Linked DNA regions of Arabidopsis thaliana. The protein of the gene in region 4 interacts with the protein of the main gene of each other region in a pairwise test. Each region holds a gene or a part of one and is shown on either strand. Other genes may lie near its edges.

Evidence for each region.
Region 1: the proteins of SWI3A (region 4) and PEI1 interact in a two-hybrid assay, tested with the Arabidopsis thaliana proteins (one large-scale study listed by BioGRID).
Region 2: the proteins of SWI3A (region 4) and AT1G51120 interact in a two-hybrid assay, tested with the Arabidopsis thaliana proteins (one large-scale study listed by BioGRID).
Region 3: the proteins of SWI3A (region 4) and AT3G11100 interact in a two-hybrid assay, tested with the Arabidopsis thaliana proteins (one large-scale study listed by BioGRID).

The regions. Positions count from the first base shown.
Region 1 is NC_003076.8:2,370,737-2,374,181, reverse strand, and holds PEI1 (Zinc finger C-x8-C-x5-C-x3-H type family protein), read right to left. Parts: upstream 1,564-3,445; 5' UTR 1,467-1,563; coding exon 729-1,466; 3' UTR 527-728; downstream 1-526. Other genes in the region: AT5G07490 (uncharacterized protein), read right to left, coding at 3,179-3,393. UniProt on the Arabidopsis thaliana protein: Embryo-specific transcription factor required at the globular to heart stage transition in embryo development.
Region 2 is NC_003070.9:18,936,391-18,939,708, reverse strand, and holds AT1G51120 (AP2/B3 transcription factor family protein), read right to left. Parts: upstream 1,619-3,318; coding exon 560-1,618; downstream 1-559. Other genes in the region: AT1G51130 (Nse4, component of Smc5/6 DNA repair complex), read left to right, coding at 1-229; AT1G51110 (Plastid-lipid associated protein PAP / fibrillin family protein), read right to left, coding at 2,225-2,297, 2,400-2,507, 2,591-2,670, 2,753-2,806, 2,894-2,986, 3,074-3,157, 3,240-3,318.
Region 3 is NC_003074.8:3,475,652-3,479,880, forward strand, and holds AT3G11100 (sequence-specific DNA binding transcription factor), read right to left. Parts: upstream 2,250-4,229; 5' UTR 1,670-2,249; coding exon 934-1,669; intron 853-933; coding exon 839-852; 3' UTR 536-838; downstream 1-535.
Region 4 is NC_003071.7:19,530,167-19,534,971, reverse strand, and holds SWI3A (SWITCH/sucrose nonfermenting 3A), read right to left. Parts: upstream 3,026-4,805; 5' UTR 2,939-3,025; coding exon 2,881-2,938; intron 2,726-2,880; coding exon 2,205-2,725; intron 2,110-2,204; coding exon 1,663-2,109; intron 1,503-1,662; coding exon 1,363-1,502; coding exon of another isoform or gene 1,305-1,362; exon of another isoform or gene 1,278-1,304; coding exon 1,228-1,277; intron 1,142-1,227; coding exon 996-1,141; intron 898-995; coding exon 721-897; 3' UTR 501-720; downstream 1-500. Other genes in the region: AT2G47630 (alpha/beta-Hydrolases superfamily protein), read right to left, coding at 67-163, 306-335; AT2G47610 (Ribosomal protein L7Ae/L30e/S12e/Gadd45 family protein), read right to left, coding at 3,571-3,702, 3,795-3,887, 3,969-4,267, 4,426-4,627, 4,747-4,791. UniProt on the Arabidopsis thaliana protein: Component of a multiprotein complex equivalent of the SWI/SNF complex, an ATP-dependent chromatin-remodeling complex, which is required for the positive and negative regulation of gene expression of a large number of genes.

The DNA.
Region 1 (3,445 bases), on a different chromosome or scaffold from region 4:
TAATCTCATTAAGCAATTTTTCTTTTTTCTGTTGGACATTACCAAAAACTTCTTTATTCCATCTCTTTAGAGTACCTCGCAGTTTAAACAGAGCAACTTAGAGTACCATGCTCTTAGGTGTTCCGTCATGTAGTTCATATTATATCAATTTTAAATTAAAAATTGATTTTACTATTTTCATATTTGGTTTTCTTATACCAAAGCAAATTGATTATAGATGTTTTTAAGATAAATTATCAATTATAAATTTTTTAATTAAAAATTACTTTATTTGTAACTAAATTTTCTTTCAACATCTACATTTTACAAAATAATCGTATATACTGTCAATCAAATTGCTGTTTTATTTTTCTGGTCAACGATCAACAACCCAAACTTTTTATAGCTATATACGGATATACCGAGTTACTGACAAGCGACAACTATAATATCTACGTAACGGTTGCATGACTAGTAGTGACTAAAATACAAACTTAGCCAATTTTCTTTTGAAACTCTGTTTTATAACATTGTTTATACGATAGAAAATACAAAGACTTATAGAAGATCAAGAATCTGTTTACATGCAAAGAGAAGTAACTTCTTTTGCGACATTGCAATAAATCATTACAATTAAATTTACCATATACATGACAAGATCTCTCATCTTGAATCTTGATCTTGTGGATTTTAACAAAATCCACTTTATTTATCGGGTTTCTTTTGTTCTCTGCTTTGATTTCCCAAATTTAATCGACCAACTCTGAGATCCAATCAAAGTGTGACAAATCCAAATCCAAATCGGACGGCTCATAATGATCATCCACAATGCTCATCCGACTCCAACACTTCAACAACACCTTCTCCTCGTTACTATCTAAATCATCTTTCCCGCTTCTCACCGGAGACCGTGACGTGTCGTAACCCTCGTCGTCCATTCTCATCGTCACTCCATCGCCGTTTCCACCACCTCTAGCCCTCACCGGCCTATATGCGTACCTGCACCTGTGCTTTCCTTCAGACTGCCTTAGCTGCTCCGGCGCGTGGGCAAAGAAACACACTTTCCTCTGACACAAGTTCCCGGCGTTACATGCGCGTGTTCGGTAACGCGCCGGGTGGAGCCAGTACTCGAATACGCCATGTGCGAATTCGCATGAGTCGCCACGGTGGCATGCGCCATTTCGGAAAGCCGGGCATGCGACTGCACAGTAAGTGTAACGGCGAGGATCACGGCGTGTGGCTTTCTCGCCACGGTGAGCGTAGGGACACTCCGTCCAGTCGTGGCTACGAGTACGAGGACACCGTTTGATTTTGTAAGCGTACATACGGAACTCATCTGAGCCGTAGATCGCATCGTCGATGTTTGGGATCGAAGGGTCAATCTCGTAAGCTCCTGCGTTCCCAGGTTTGCTTAAAATGTACCCGAAAGTAGAGTATTGCTGCTCTCCGATATCGTAGAATGCCATTGGACTTGCACTTTTCAACATTTTTCCTTGCAATGATCTAAAGAGTTATTTTGGTTTAATAAATGTCTTTCTTTCGAAATTTAAGAAAGGAACAAAAAAAAAACTACAGAGATTTCATCTTAGGAAAATCTTAAGTAATTTAGGAAACTGAAAGGGGAATTTATAGGAAGAAAAACGAAATAAAAAGTCGAATATTTAATAATTTTACCTTTTGCAATGAAAAATGCCAAAACTATATTTTAAAGTTTAAACGTTACAGTTATTTTTTGTTGCATGCACTTATATACTGTGGATACATAATATCTTAACGGCAACGGAAGATGGTGAAAGATAAACTAATATGATTTGAAGATATATTTTTCCAGATGCAGCAGATCGTATGTAAAGTATATACAATTACAGTAATTTACAAAAATCGTCATCATGATCAACGTTTTAGAATATTTCAATATTTGATTATGGTGTTAAATGGTGTTTGATTCGTGAGAGGTAAAGTTAACAGACGTTAATAAGGGCAGCGTTTACGTGAAGGAAGAAGAGTGAAAAACATTTGGAAACACACGAGTGGTAAAAATTGCATGAGAAGGCACACGTGTAAGTGATAATCAGAAGAACTTAAAAATAATAAAGAGGAGAGGAGCACCATCTGGCACACGTGTCGAGAGGAATCCTTTAAATCCTCGACAGCCGTTTCTCTTTTGCAATCTTGGTAGGTTGGTGAGAGCATTGCTAAATCCAAAGACAATAGAAATAGTTTGCAAATGTCATTTCCATAATTTATATTTTAGTCGTAATAAATTTGATCGAAGTAGGAAATGATTATACAGCATACTATTATCACCATAAAAAGCTTATTTATCACTTTTTTATTTAGATCCGAAAAGTTTTGCGTTAAATACATTTTTTCGGAGCGAAAATCAGGCATAAATAAAGTTTTTTCTGTGCACTTGATATTCGTATCGTTTTTTCTTTATGTCCGAAAAGTTTTGCGTTAAATACATTTTCTCGGACCGAAGATAAGACAAAAACAAAACTTTTTCCTCGCATCTACTATTCAAATCGCTTTTTTGTTATATCCGAAAATTGTTACGTTAAATACATCTTTTTAAATTGAGAATCGTACGAAAATAAAGTTTTTTCATCATTTCATATCCGAATCTACTTTTTTTAAAATATGGTTTTAGATTCTAACTGTTTTAGCTATGAATTTTAGATAAAAAAATAATTTCTTTCTAATTTGTAGCTAAAACAGTTGAATCTAAAATCATGTTATAGAAAAATTGGATTCGGATATAATTGTTTTCTTTTTGTTTAGAGCCTTTACACACTAGATTAATGTCTTTATTTTTGGCAGATCTATAAAGTGACGGTTTTTAATCAGAATTTATGCCAGTTTACAAGGTTTTTTTTGGAAAGACGCGTATTCTTTTCTGAAAAGAAAAGAAGCAATTGCATGCACAAATGGTAACGTTTAAACTTTTTTCCCTAGTCTTTTTTAAACATCAAACCGCTGTCCTCCAAGTTGTAGCAGATTAATCAAAAAGAAAGGCGTCAATACAGAGTGAAAGTAGTTCTTGTGGATCTTGAAGATAATGTGAAGAACTAAATATAAAAGTTTAACCAAAGAAACACATCTCCTGATCAACTAACATGCGCAATCAAAATAGAAAGAAAAAAAAGAATAATTCGTTTTGAAAGTTTATCTCGTAAATATTTATCAAACAAAAAGGTGATTAATAAAAACCTTTCATCACTTTCCTTGAAGCTTGTATCCTCCGATTGCGTTTATTAGCCTCGCGTTTTAGTTTATTTTTTGAATGTCCGACCTCTGTGGCGGCTCCTAAGAATCCGGTCTGAGTTCCGTCGCTGTCATTGTCAATGTCTCCTTCGATCGTTAATCCTTCAATCCTAGCCGCAATGGAGTCCCCTTTCACCCCAACATCTACATCTATACGTAAAAAAATGTGCAATCATTTTATTTGACGCTACAAATCTACTTA
Region 2 (3,318 bases), on a different chromosome or scaffold from region 4:
CGAGGAGCTAATGCCACACAGACAAACTGCAGTTGCTTCATCTTCTTGTCCCGCTGCATCAGCCCCTGCATCAGCAGACTTCACACAAGATACTCAGACAACACCAATAAGAAAACTATCGAGAAACCGAGGGTTGGTTGTACAAGAAGAAACTGTTGTAGAAGATACTCCTGACAAAGAGGGCGATGGGACTCGAAGGAGATGTAAGCGGAGACTCACCTCTTCTTAAGGAGTGTATAGAGAGAGAAGTGAGTTGTATCTATTTCATTTTGTGACATTAACTAAATGTCTTTGTTAGGATTGTTTAGTTCGTTGTAGTTTGTAGCAGTTAAGTGGCTTTTGTCTTAACTCTTAAAAGAAGAAGAATTTAAAGCCTCTTTTGGTTTTTCTTCTTCTTTTTTTTTTGATCTACTCAAGAGAGACAATTTATCTAATTAATGTTAGATATCAAAATCGAAGCATCGAGTTTGTAAATAAAAAAACTATGTAATACAAAAGCAAATAAAAACCATACTCTAATTAAGTTATAATATAAAAAACCTAAGAACCAAGTAGCTAGCTATTGGATCCTAACACCAAACAGCATAAACCCTCCTTTCTTCTCCTCTGATTTGGTTTCTTCTTCTACCTTCGAGGTAAAGAGGGTTTCTGTTTTCATCTCTTCATCAGAAATCTCATGAACCGTCTTGTTTACTTCCTCGGGAACCACGAAACCGTTGCCTGAAAAGTGATGAACATCAATCATCAAGAAGGTCTTGCTTTGGCCTTCTAATGTCTTCACATTGTTGGGGACATCGCAAGTGTAAAAGACAATAATATCTTTCTCCTTGAGATTCTTCTCCTTCACGAAACCATTCCATCCTCTGGTGAAGACAAAGCTCTGGCTACTTCTCCAGTAACAATACCTAAACTTCCATTGTCTCATTGCTCTGTCGTAAAAGACAACCTCCACATCTTCTACTCCTTCACTCGTCTCTTTCTCGCTTTGATCATCGCTTATGAAAGGCATATACTTCACTGCATACTTCTTAGGTATCACAAGCCTATTCAGTTTCCCTACATCGCTCGGTGTCAGTTCTTTCTGAAAAAGCTGCGTGCACGAGAAACACTTGTTCGATTCTTGACCACCTTCTCCTCCTCCTAAGACTTGTTTTGATCCCACGATGTTGATATTCGCAACAATCTGAGACCGGATTCTGAGAAAATCTCTGAACTTGTGTTGATAAGAACCGTCTCTGATCATGTTCAACACAGCTTCTGTCGTGTAGCACTCTTGAAAGTCCGGTTCATGGAGGGTAAAATCAGACCAAGGGAAGTTCCGGTGCGAGTTAGCATCAAAGCTTCGAAGCTTAATCGATGCGCTATCGTAAGCAGCAGCGGCTTCATGAGCGGATTTGAAAGTTCCAAGCCAAATCCTTCGATGGTCTGCGTAAATCTGAGCACCCCAATGACCGTTCTGTTGCTGAACAACTCCTTTGAATTTCGTCGTGTTGGACAAGGCAGGTTTTGTGGTGGTCGTAACCTCAGTAGGTTTCATGCGTTTCGTGAGGCTCAAGACAGAGTCAGTTAAGCCTGAAGTCTCTGTCGTTGTCTTGGCTACATTGCTCATCTCGTCCATATCCATAACAAAAAAATACAAAAATCAAGAAAAGGACAAAAAAACAAGAAACAGAGGAAGAGAGAGAGATGTTCGCAGGGAACAAGCAAAATGAAAACAGAAGAGATTAGGAAGAGTATTTGAAGGAGAGATTTGAGGGAGTAAATCCTGGAAAATCAGTATTATGTTTCTCTGTTGGTTTTGTTAACAATGAATCTTTTAGAATGTTACAGTTTCCATGTTTTGTTTTGTTTTTCTAGTTTTCTCTCGGTGAAAAAATGGCAATTTACAGAGTAATTAATGCCACCAGAAGCTGTTAGTGGTAAGTTTCCTTTGTTAGTGAGATATTCGTATTTTCTTTGTAGAAAGAAATATTCAGTGAATTTGTTTAAGATTAAGACAAAAAGTAAAGTTTTCTTAATGTTAATTTTGTCTTAATTTAGACATTAGTAGCGAAAATTATATCATGTGGTTTCTTGTTTTTTCTGGTTCCTGTTACATCCAAAAAAACTAATGAACAGAGAAAATTTAAACTATCACCTTCCATTGTTGTAAAACATTTGACAGTTTCTTACATACTATTTTTTTTCATATGTTCAAATAAGAGGTTCTGATAGAACAATGCAGCTAAATTTCTCGGATGTGCACAAAGATAATGTTATCGAATCCTCGGCTTATCCTCATCTTCTCATCTGTGTACCTACAAACATTAAAGTAAGCATCTCTGTATTAGCAATTCAAATGCATTATTATATGTTGTGATTTGTGAAAGTAGTAGAAGAAGAAGATAGAGAGATCTTACAGAATTTTTAGCTCGATATTGTTTGTTATATCGACCGGATATCCAAATGCACCGCCTATAATTGCTGCGTCGTCCATCTTCAAGTCATATGTACTGCTTTCTGATTTTCTGCAAATCATTCATGAGACCAGTCAAGAAACAAGATCACAAAAAAGTTAGCAAAATGACTAATCTAAAAGACAGAGACTTACATGAATTTGCCTTTCATGGAGAATCTAAATGCCGGAATGATGTTAACTTCAAACTTTATCCTCCCATCCTTCTCAATGATCTGAATAAGATACTCGATTTCGCTAAACGAAGCCAGCTGAAGCAACAATAGACTACCTAAGACATTCTAATAAAATGTTTACCTGTCTTCCCATAAGACCATTTGCTGCATTTTCAATCCAACTATCTGTATACATCTGCAAACACAAAACCCGAAAAATCGCTTATCCAAACGAATATAAGTGCTTGTTCAAGACAAAAGCTAAAGTTATCAGAGAAGTGACCTGTGAACTCCAAATCATTTGCCAACTTCCTTCTAAAAGCTCATAATTATCTTCCGCGGAATTAGAATTAGACGCAAGAAACTCATCGATAGCCTGTGTTTATACTAAACGATCCATTGGTTCCATTTCAAACCGAAACTATCGATTGTTTTCAGATTTCTTGAAGGCATGACACATTACCTCAGCTACTCCTTTGTCTTGAGATATGGTGGCTAACAATTTCTGCCTAGGCACGGTTTCTTTCTGAAGAACAAACGTTGTTCCCTGCGCTACAAATATACAGCCTCATGGATAAAAATGCTATAAAGCTTTAATTTTCTTTTTGAGAATCAAGAAACTCATTTACCTTGTTTCCCCTAGAAATCCTAAGGTTACCTGAAGGCGACAAATAAGTAGTATCTAGCCAACCTTTTGCTTCATCACCA
Region 3 (4,229 bases), on a different chromosome or scaffold from region 4:
GCTTACTTCATCATATGTATGAAAAAGGGTTTTAACTTCAAAAGTAACCATCACATGCGATGAGATAACTCAGGTACAAGATGAGCCTTGGAAGGTCAGAGTCCTTACCAGTTTTGGACCAAGTGGTAGGCCAAGGTGAGTAAAGTGAGGTGTTTTAGATGAAGAGCTTCTTTGTAAGTCAGGTATGAATAGGAGAGCACATGCTTATGTCATCCCGAAATTCTACCAAACATGAAACATTGATATATATGCTTCTATGATGTTCTTTTTTGAGGCTCCAATAATACAGCCTCATGTGTCAACTCGTCTCCCTCAGGCCACAAGAGTCTTGTCCTGGAGATTCCAGAGTGCAGCAAAGTCACATAAGCAAACATCCAAATCAATAGCTTGGTGGGTTTGATCAAATTCCAAACTGAATTATGAATGACTCTGATAAGAGTTCTCCTCAGAACCGTTCTACGCATCTTGTTAAGTCTGTACACATTCCTGAAACCTGCCTAAGCAAAAGAGTAATTGCAGATCACAGAAAGAGAGATGAGCACAATTTGGAACTGCAGACACTGATACACAAACCATCATACATTGATACTTCACAAAAGTACATCTTGATATGTCAGATACTATGAGAGTTCTTTTGGTAATTCGCATTGCTACTACCAATGTAACTCTACAATGCTAAAAAAGAGAATGAAAAAGAAGAAGAAGAAAAAAAGCATCGCGCTATAACTTAAGAAAACCTAAAGATCAATAATAATAACATCTTCTCCAAATCGTATGAGCTTTAGATCCAACCATTGCTCCTTGCTTCACATCAGTAACTCCTCCACAATCTACAATCCTACAACTTCTTACCTATACAACAAACAAAGCACAACTGAAGTTTCAGTAAACTCATCAATCACAACAAAACACACATAAAAATGAAAACTTTACCTGAAGCAGCTCTTCGTTTCCCAAGTTTAGATTTCTCAAGCTCCAATTGCATCTCCATCAACATATTCATTCGTTGTAACTCAAGCTCCTTTGCAACTTCCATTCTCTGTTTCTCCAATTCAATCATCATCTGTTGCTTCTTCCCCTCGATTCTCTCAAACGCTTCCCCTAACTTCAGAATCGATCTCGCTAGCTCCCTAAAGGCTGATCCTTCACTCGAATCTACATCTTCAACTTTACGATGCTTCCTCACCACAAATCCCCAATCACCCGCATCATCATCATCTTCTTCGTCGTCATCATCATCATCATCATCGTCATCGAGAGAGCTACCAGTTGATTTAGATCCAGTAGGATTCAAATTAGGGTTCATCAACGCCGATTTAACAACAGCACCGGACGATTTCTTCATAACCGGACCGATTAAGAAATCGAGTCTATCAAAGAAGCACCAATTCGATAAAGGTTTCGCCTTTTCAGTTTTGTACTTCTTCTTCAACGTATCGATCCGGTTTTTGCACTGTACATCGGTCTTTGGCCGGCCATTCCCGTGGCTTGAATTGACGGCGTCGGCGACTTCTTTCCAATCGTTTTGCCGGAGATTTCCCCGGTTGAGATTGACGTAACGATCTCCCCAAGCTTCGATCAATGTCGCCGTAGCGTCTTCGCTCCACCAATCCTCTCTTCCCGCCGGTAGACGGTGAGTCTTCGACTGAGTCTCCGGCGTCGTCTCCATCTCGGAGTGGGAAAGAGAGGAGGCTAACGTGCGCGGTGGAGAAAGAGGCTTAGGATAAGAATTTCTGTTGGATCGGATTTTTGGTAAAGTTAAAAGAGAAATTACGGTTAAAGGAGAGATTTTTGATTACCGGCGGTGACGTCAGCAACGGCGATTATCTTCTTTCTCCTACCTCTCTCTTTTTCCTCTGCTAACCGAATCAATCACACTCATTTCTGAAAAACCGGTTATCGAAAACGGTTATCGAAAACCGGTTTAATCATAAATTGAGAGTCCTACTAACTAGGCTACTACTAGTTATAGTCAATTTCAAGCTTCTTTTAATGCGTTTCTACGGGTAATGATGATAAGATTACATTATTAAACTCATAGACTGATTGATAATAACGATTAGGGCTAGAATCTCATCAGTTCATGTCATTATAGGAAATCTTATAACGTGTATTTTTGTGTATTCTAGGAAAGACAGTAAATATGAGGTTGTATTAGTTTTGGTAGTGGTTTTTAAAAGTCATAATTGGAAAGAAAGAAATGTTATCAGAATATTAAGAAAATTTATACGTTTTGTGTATTCCAGTAACAAGATCATTTACGTTACGCCGTAACAAATTGAAGTTTGGAAGTGAAAAATGGTGGGATGTAATTAAGGAAATAGGTAAGCAGGCGAATTGTTAGGTAATAAGAGAGAGCATCGCAAACGTGTTAGGTCGTAGACTCTATGTCTATAATGTATGTTTCGTGCCGTGTCTTGTCTAATTGTCTTTTTGCTGTCTCGCCAATTGATATGTTAGTCCATGCCTAACTACTACTGTTTCCTCATAACTACTAAAATGTCGCTGAAATATTTGAAAAAAGAGCTGAGGTGTTTTTTCTGTCGATCAAAGTTTCCACGATGGTCTTGGTGAAGAGCTAGTAGAAATAAGCATATAGTTAGTGATGTTAACTTGGGCATTGAATAGCCATTTGTTAAATGGGTATGTGCAAAAAAAAATAACCCATTTAAACCCATTTAGAGAAAAATATCAAATGGGGTTAAATGGGTTACCCCAATTAAACCTATTTAATAAATGGGTTTACCCACAAACAAATGGGTACCCATTTATGTTTTATTTTATATTAGTTATTTTTATTAAAAAGTAGATAACTTAATTATAACTAAAATAAAGAGCAAAATACTAAATATATTTAAAACAAAACGTAAAATCACGTTTTTCCGCTAAAACCCATAAAATTACGTTTTCCCACCAAAATCACGTTTTTTACCAAAATCGAAAATCACATTTTCCCACCAAAATCGTAAACCGACGTTTTTCCGCCAAAATCGTAAAATCACGTTTTCCCGCCAAAACTGTAAAATGACGTTTTCCCACCAAAATTGAAAATCACGTATTTTCGCCAAACCCGTAAAATCACGTTTACCCGCCAAAATCGTAAAATCACGTTTTCCCGCCAAAATCGTAAAATCACGTTTTCCCGCCAAAACCGTAAAATCACGTTTTCCCGCCAAAATCACAAAAAGTGTTTTCCGCCAAAACCGTAAAATCACGTATTTCCGCCAAAACCGTAAACGACATTTTCCCGTAAAACCGTAAAATCAAGTTTTCCCGCCAAAATCACAAAAAAAAATATTTTTTGCCAAATTTGAAAATATTATTATCATTATATGTTATTGAAATCTATATTTTAGTAAATTATAAATATTTCAGATTTAGCTAATGTTTATGGACTGTTGTTATTTATCTATTAAGTTTATGAATTAATTAATAAAAGGCAATATCTCACTTAATTGGTTTAAATGGGTTCACATGGATTTACTAAATTTAAATGGGTAGGGTTAAATGGGTTTCAAAAATAAATGGATTTATATGAGTTTAAAGTTAAATGGAGTGGGTTTAAATGGGATGGGTTTAATTGGGGTGGGTTAGCCCATATTAACATCACTACATATAGTTTTCTAAACTAAATATGTCATTATCATCATTTACTGGTTTACATGCATCTTTTATACATTTCAAACTTTCTTATGAAAACGCAGATGTGAAAAGATAAATCATGATTTACAGGTTATCAAAGTGATGTGAGTTGGAACGTAAAACAATTTAGTTTGTCAACTGAATCTTAGACGCAATCGATTATTGTTACTCTTAAATCACTTTACAATAATATCAAATATCACATCCTGCAGCCAAGTAATCGAGCTAATCCATGATCAAGTATAGGTGGTGAAGCAACTAAAAATGTAGCCAATTTCGTTTGTACGCATAATTAAACAATGCTATTTATTTTAGTATGTTGCTACTTGCCAGTTGCTACCATTGGGATCTCGAAAACACACAAACGTACGTGCATGTTGCCTAATATAGTCTTTATTATTGTTCCTAAACTAATTAAGACAAATTAAAACAATATATAAAGTAACAAAAAAAAATCCCACTTTCCTTCAAACTTGAGTCTTGCTTGTACAGACAGTTGTACTACTTGTGGAAGCTGTTTAACTCAAATTAATATTCTCTTTCTGTTATTTTATTTAAGGAAATACAATCACGTGACTGAGATTAGC
Region 4 (4,805 bases):
TTGTTCAGTTTTATTATGTGTAATGAAGAAAGCGGCTTTTAGAAATAATAAGGAAATAACTGCAACCATGGCAGAGGAAAACCAGAGCTTTGGGAGAAGACGAAGAAGATGGGATCCATCTACATGCGAACAACTCTACACCTCTTGAATTTCTCACGTATTCCTGTCACCAATTCATACACATATTTGTTTATTCAAAGATCTAATCAATCATCTCAACACCTCTTGACATCTTCACTCTCCTGTTAAACTATTACTACTACATCTAAAATCTCTAAGCAGAGAGAGGGAGAGAGAGAGAGAACCTCGTGGTATTGGAATTCCGACGACTTCATGACCGGAGCTAGATCTTGAGAGAGAGACACTGAAGGTGACGAAGGGGTTTTGAGGACGGTCTCACCAATTTATAGAAACAAGAGTGTCACTGTTCTTTTTTTCAATTCACTTTTTTCCAAATTATGGAAAGCTCAGAAAATGTTTTCGGAATTTTATTTATTTGACGTCACACTGGGCGCGTGTGAATTAGTAGAGAGACCCATCCATTGGTCAGACATATCGACAAAAGAGGTATGTAACCTAAACCTACTCTCCTCATTAAGTCAATAAAACACATTAATACTAAATACATATAATCCTCAAAAGTCAACATAACAAATCCATAAGGAATGAGAAAACAACTCTACCCCAAGAGAAAAAAAAAGTACGAATGAAAGAAGAAGATCATTTCACGTACGTATGATCCCAACGTTTGGTAATACCGCTTCTAAACGCGCATTGCAAAACGCTAACCCTCTCTTGGATGATTGTTTCCTTTACACCCTCTATCACTTTCTCTTCTTCATCCATTATCGATTCCAAGTCGTCTAGAAACTTCAACTTGCTCTGCAGTTTCTTCAGCTGAGTACAACAAAGAGAAGCAAAACATGTCCGGTTCAAGACACAAACACAGTGGAACAGACACAAATGTTTTAATGTTGTTACAAGTTACAACCAACCTGTTGTTCTATTACTGTCGCAGCTAACTGTTCCATTTCTCTTTCTTCTTGATCAGCCAGTATTTTCGCTTGTGCAGCCGCAGCTCCTAGAGCTGTTGCCACAGACGCTCTTATCCTTAACGCTACAGGTAGACCCTGAGGCCCGTCTGCAAATATATAACGATTCCAAATCTTAAGCCTTGAGCTTTCATTATAAACCTAGGAATGCAGATTGAATCACAACACAATTTACCTTTCTCTTCTTGCTGTTCCTCCATATCTGTATCTTTCTCTCCATTGGCTCTGTGAGCAAAGTTTTGTATCTTGAGATTAGTGTAGGACATGAGAAGCCAAACCACAAGCAAATTGAGGGCTTAGAGAATCGAACCTATCAACTGTGAAATTGCTGTAGTCATCAGTGTCAAAAATCTCTTTTGGACATGAGGCTTCATCACAAAGAGCTGCAAGTGCAGCTTTTGCAGCAGCAGTTGCGACAGATGGACCAACTTTACTTGCCATGGCAGCGACCTGTTGTGCAATATGTAAACATGTTATCTCTTGAACATTCTTTTCCAGTGGAGTTAAAAAGGGCATTCTTTGCGACGGTTAAAGGTCAGAGAAGAACCCGAATGTTACACTCATATGGAAAATAATGAACACAAGGCATATAGTTTAACCAAACATTCACCTGTTTCATAAGTGAACTATCACCCTCTGATATCAGTGCAACACGTTTCCTTTTTGCTGGAGGCTCATCTTCATTCACGCGATCTTCTTTTTCTTCCCTTGTCTCTGTTTCCTCATGTTCCTGCCCATCAGTTTGCACCTGTTCCGTGTTTTCATCCTCGGTGAGGATAGAGGGATTGAGTCTTCCAGAAGCAGAACCCATCAGAAACTCTCCAAACGGGAGCTCAATGAGTTTAGAAATGCAATCTAGTCTACTCTTGGTAGAAACACTTTGTGAAATGAGTTCCCAATCATCTCCATGTTTCAGCACAGATTCTAGCAAGAGGAGGATCTCTTCCTCTGTCCACACAGCTGCAGCTGAATTCCCAATCAACTTAAAATCATCTGCAGTGTTGTTCTCCCCATAGTTTCCATTCTTGAAACACTTTTCGCATATGTTGACTATACCCTGCCAACATCATATGTCAAAAAAAAAAGAAGCATAAACAAAACAGACTAGAGAGTATGAAATATGCTAATCGAAAAAAAGCAAAAAAAAACTACCTTGTTATGTTGATAGAAAGGAGAATCGCAACGTTCTCCACAATGCGCACAAACCAATACATGATCCGGCTTCTTCAAATCACTGAAAACATCTGAATAAGAGGTAAGCGGTGGTACTTTGATGCCAGTCTCAACTCTTTCCTCAACAAGGGGCGGTGCGGTTATAGGCCTAAGAGAATTAGGGGTTGCAGTAACTCGAATTCCAGCAGGAGTCCCTTGTTCTATTTTAGCATTATCCACGGACAATAGATGGTCATTTTTCTTCAGGGAAGAGCTAAAATTGATCAATCCCCATTTTTCGAGGAAGAGAAAAACTTTCTGGAGCAAATTGACATCGCCAACAAGAAACTTGCGGACACTGGTGAAGGTGAGTCTCCGACAAGTGTCCTCTCTAAACTTATTGATAATGAAATCTCGGTACTCCTTGTAAACTTTGGGGGTTCTAGTGATTGAGCTCTCAGTGAAGAACTCCGCAAACTCGCGTCTTTCAATTTCGTGTATATCATCCCATAAGAACCAACCTTGTAAAGAACAAGACAAATCCCCAAATCAATTGCAAAGAAAACAAACCATAGAAAGCAGAAACCTAAGAGACGGAAACAGTTGAGCGAGTAAAAAGAGTAGAAGAAGAAACCCTAGAGATCTAAAAGCATGGCGAGGGTAAGAGAAGACATACTGGATTGAGCAGGAATGGTGTAGAGCTCGATCTCTGCGCTTGGATCAGTGGCTTCCATGCCCGTTACCGATTCCCTCCAATATCAAAAACCTCTGATGAATCTATTGCCAATCGCCAAATCCAAACCACACGGAGAATAATTAGTTAAGGGTCAAAAGCGAAAACTTGCCCGAAGCTGGGTCAATTATAATAAAACTCAATTTAAAATCTGGGCCCAATCTTTATTTTATCAGCCCACTTTGTTATCTAGTTATCAGCCCACTTGTTGTTAACTTTATTTCGTCAAGCCCACTTATTACTATTAACTTTTTGGTCTTCAGCTACAAATTTTAATGAACTTATATAACTCTAGTTGTTAGGGATATGGTTGCTCCAACATCGAACCATAAAGACCAAAAATTACGCACATCATTATGAGATGAACTGTAAAAGAATTTGAGAATTAAACTTATAACTCTTTCCAGAATGCAATAAGCATTTGGCTAAAATTTCACACTGTCAAGTTTTAAGTGGTTGAGAGACCAAAGAGGATCCAGCAGCTTGAATAACATTGAAACTGTCCCAAGAAATTGCAAAACATCCATAATAAAGGGTTCAACTAAAAAAGAGGTACTTCAAGAACCAGCTAAACAAAAAGCTCTATTAAGTTTTACGAATCCGAGCAAACCACAAACAAAAGAAGCTAGCCTCTTAATTCATCCTTTGGGCAGCCTCCTTTGCAATAACTCTTTCCTTTGCCTTGGTCTTTGCCTGAGACTTAGATCCCATTATGCCTCCTCCCCATTTCTTCCTGTACTCCTCGTACTTGTCATTGAAGTTGGCCTATAGACAAAAACCCAAAAACACAATCATAAGAATCTCCAACAATATGTTTCACACAATCTACCATTCTATTGGTCACAAGAAGTATTTACCTTGATAGCTTCCAGGATTTTGCTGAACTCTAGCTTGTCCTCGTTCTTGACAGTGGTCAAACACAAGCAAGAAGCAGTCTTCTGGTGAACAACCTGAAAGTCAGAGAAAGAAATAAAGATTAACTCTCCATGCTAGTGGCTATAAACTAGAGAGAAATCACCCACAACACATACCGCTCCAAGACGAGATTTGCCCTTGACAATGCAGTACGGGACTTCCATCTTCCTGCACAGAGCAGGCAACCAGACAACCAACTCAATTGGGTCGACATCATGAGCAATAACAACAAGTTGGGCCTTGTTCTGCTCAATGAGGTAGGTCACATGGTTGAGGCCGTATTTGACTACAATGGGCTTCTTAGACTCAGAAGGCTTTCCCTCAGCTTCAGCTTGGGCCTTCTTTACAAGACGCTCCTTCTTGGCAGCTTTGTCTTCTGGCCTGTACTTCAGAAGGACCTTGAAGAGGCTGGTAGCTGCAATTATCAATAACGAATATAAATAAGGCACCGAAGTCTTCTTATAAGGTTACAGCAACACAAGATTTACCAGAACTGGTAAATATTTCAATAATAAATTAACAGCAGCAAGTAGTAAATGTTTGAAGAGTAGATTGAGAATGAAATAGACATACCAAGATTCTTGTCAAGAGTCTTGGTGAATTGGTTAAGAGCTGGAGGGACCTTCAACCTCTGCTTCAGGATCCTCTTTTGCCTTTGAAGACGGATGGATTTGGGCCATTTGATGTAGCGAGAGAGATCCTTCTTAGGAGGTAAAGCTCCACCAATACCGAATTGCTTAGGCCTCCTCTCGAATAGAGGGTTTGAAACTTTCTCCTGGAGAAATCAGAAATCAAAACACAAAACTTCAGCAAGAAAGAAAAAAACAACAACAAAGAACAAATTGAATGTTCGAAAACCTAAAAAAGAAGAAGAGAATTGGAAATGAAACATACCGCGGTCTTCTTCTTAGCAGCTACCTTCACTCCTTTCTTCGGGGCCTAAAACCAAATCG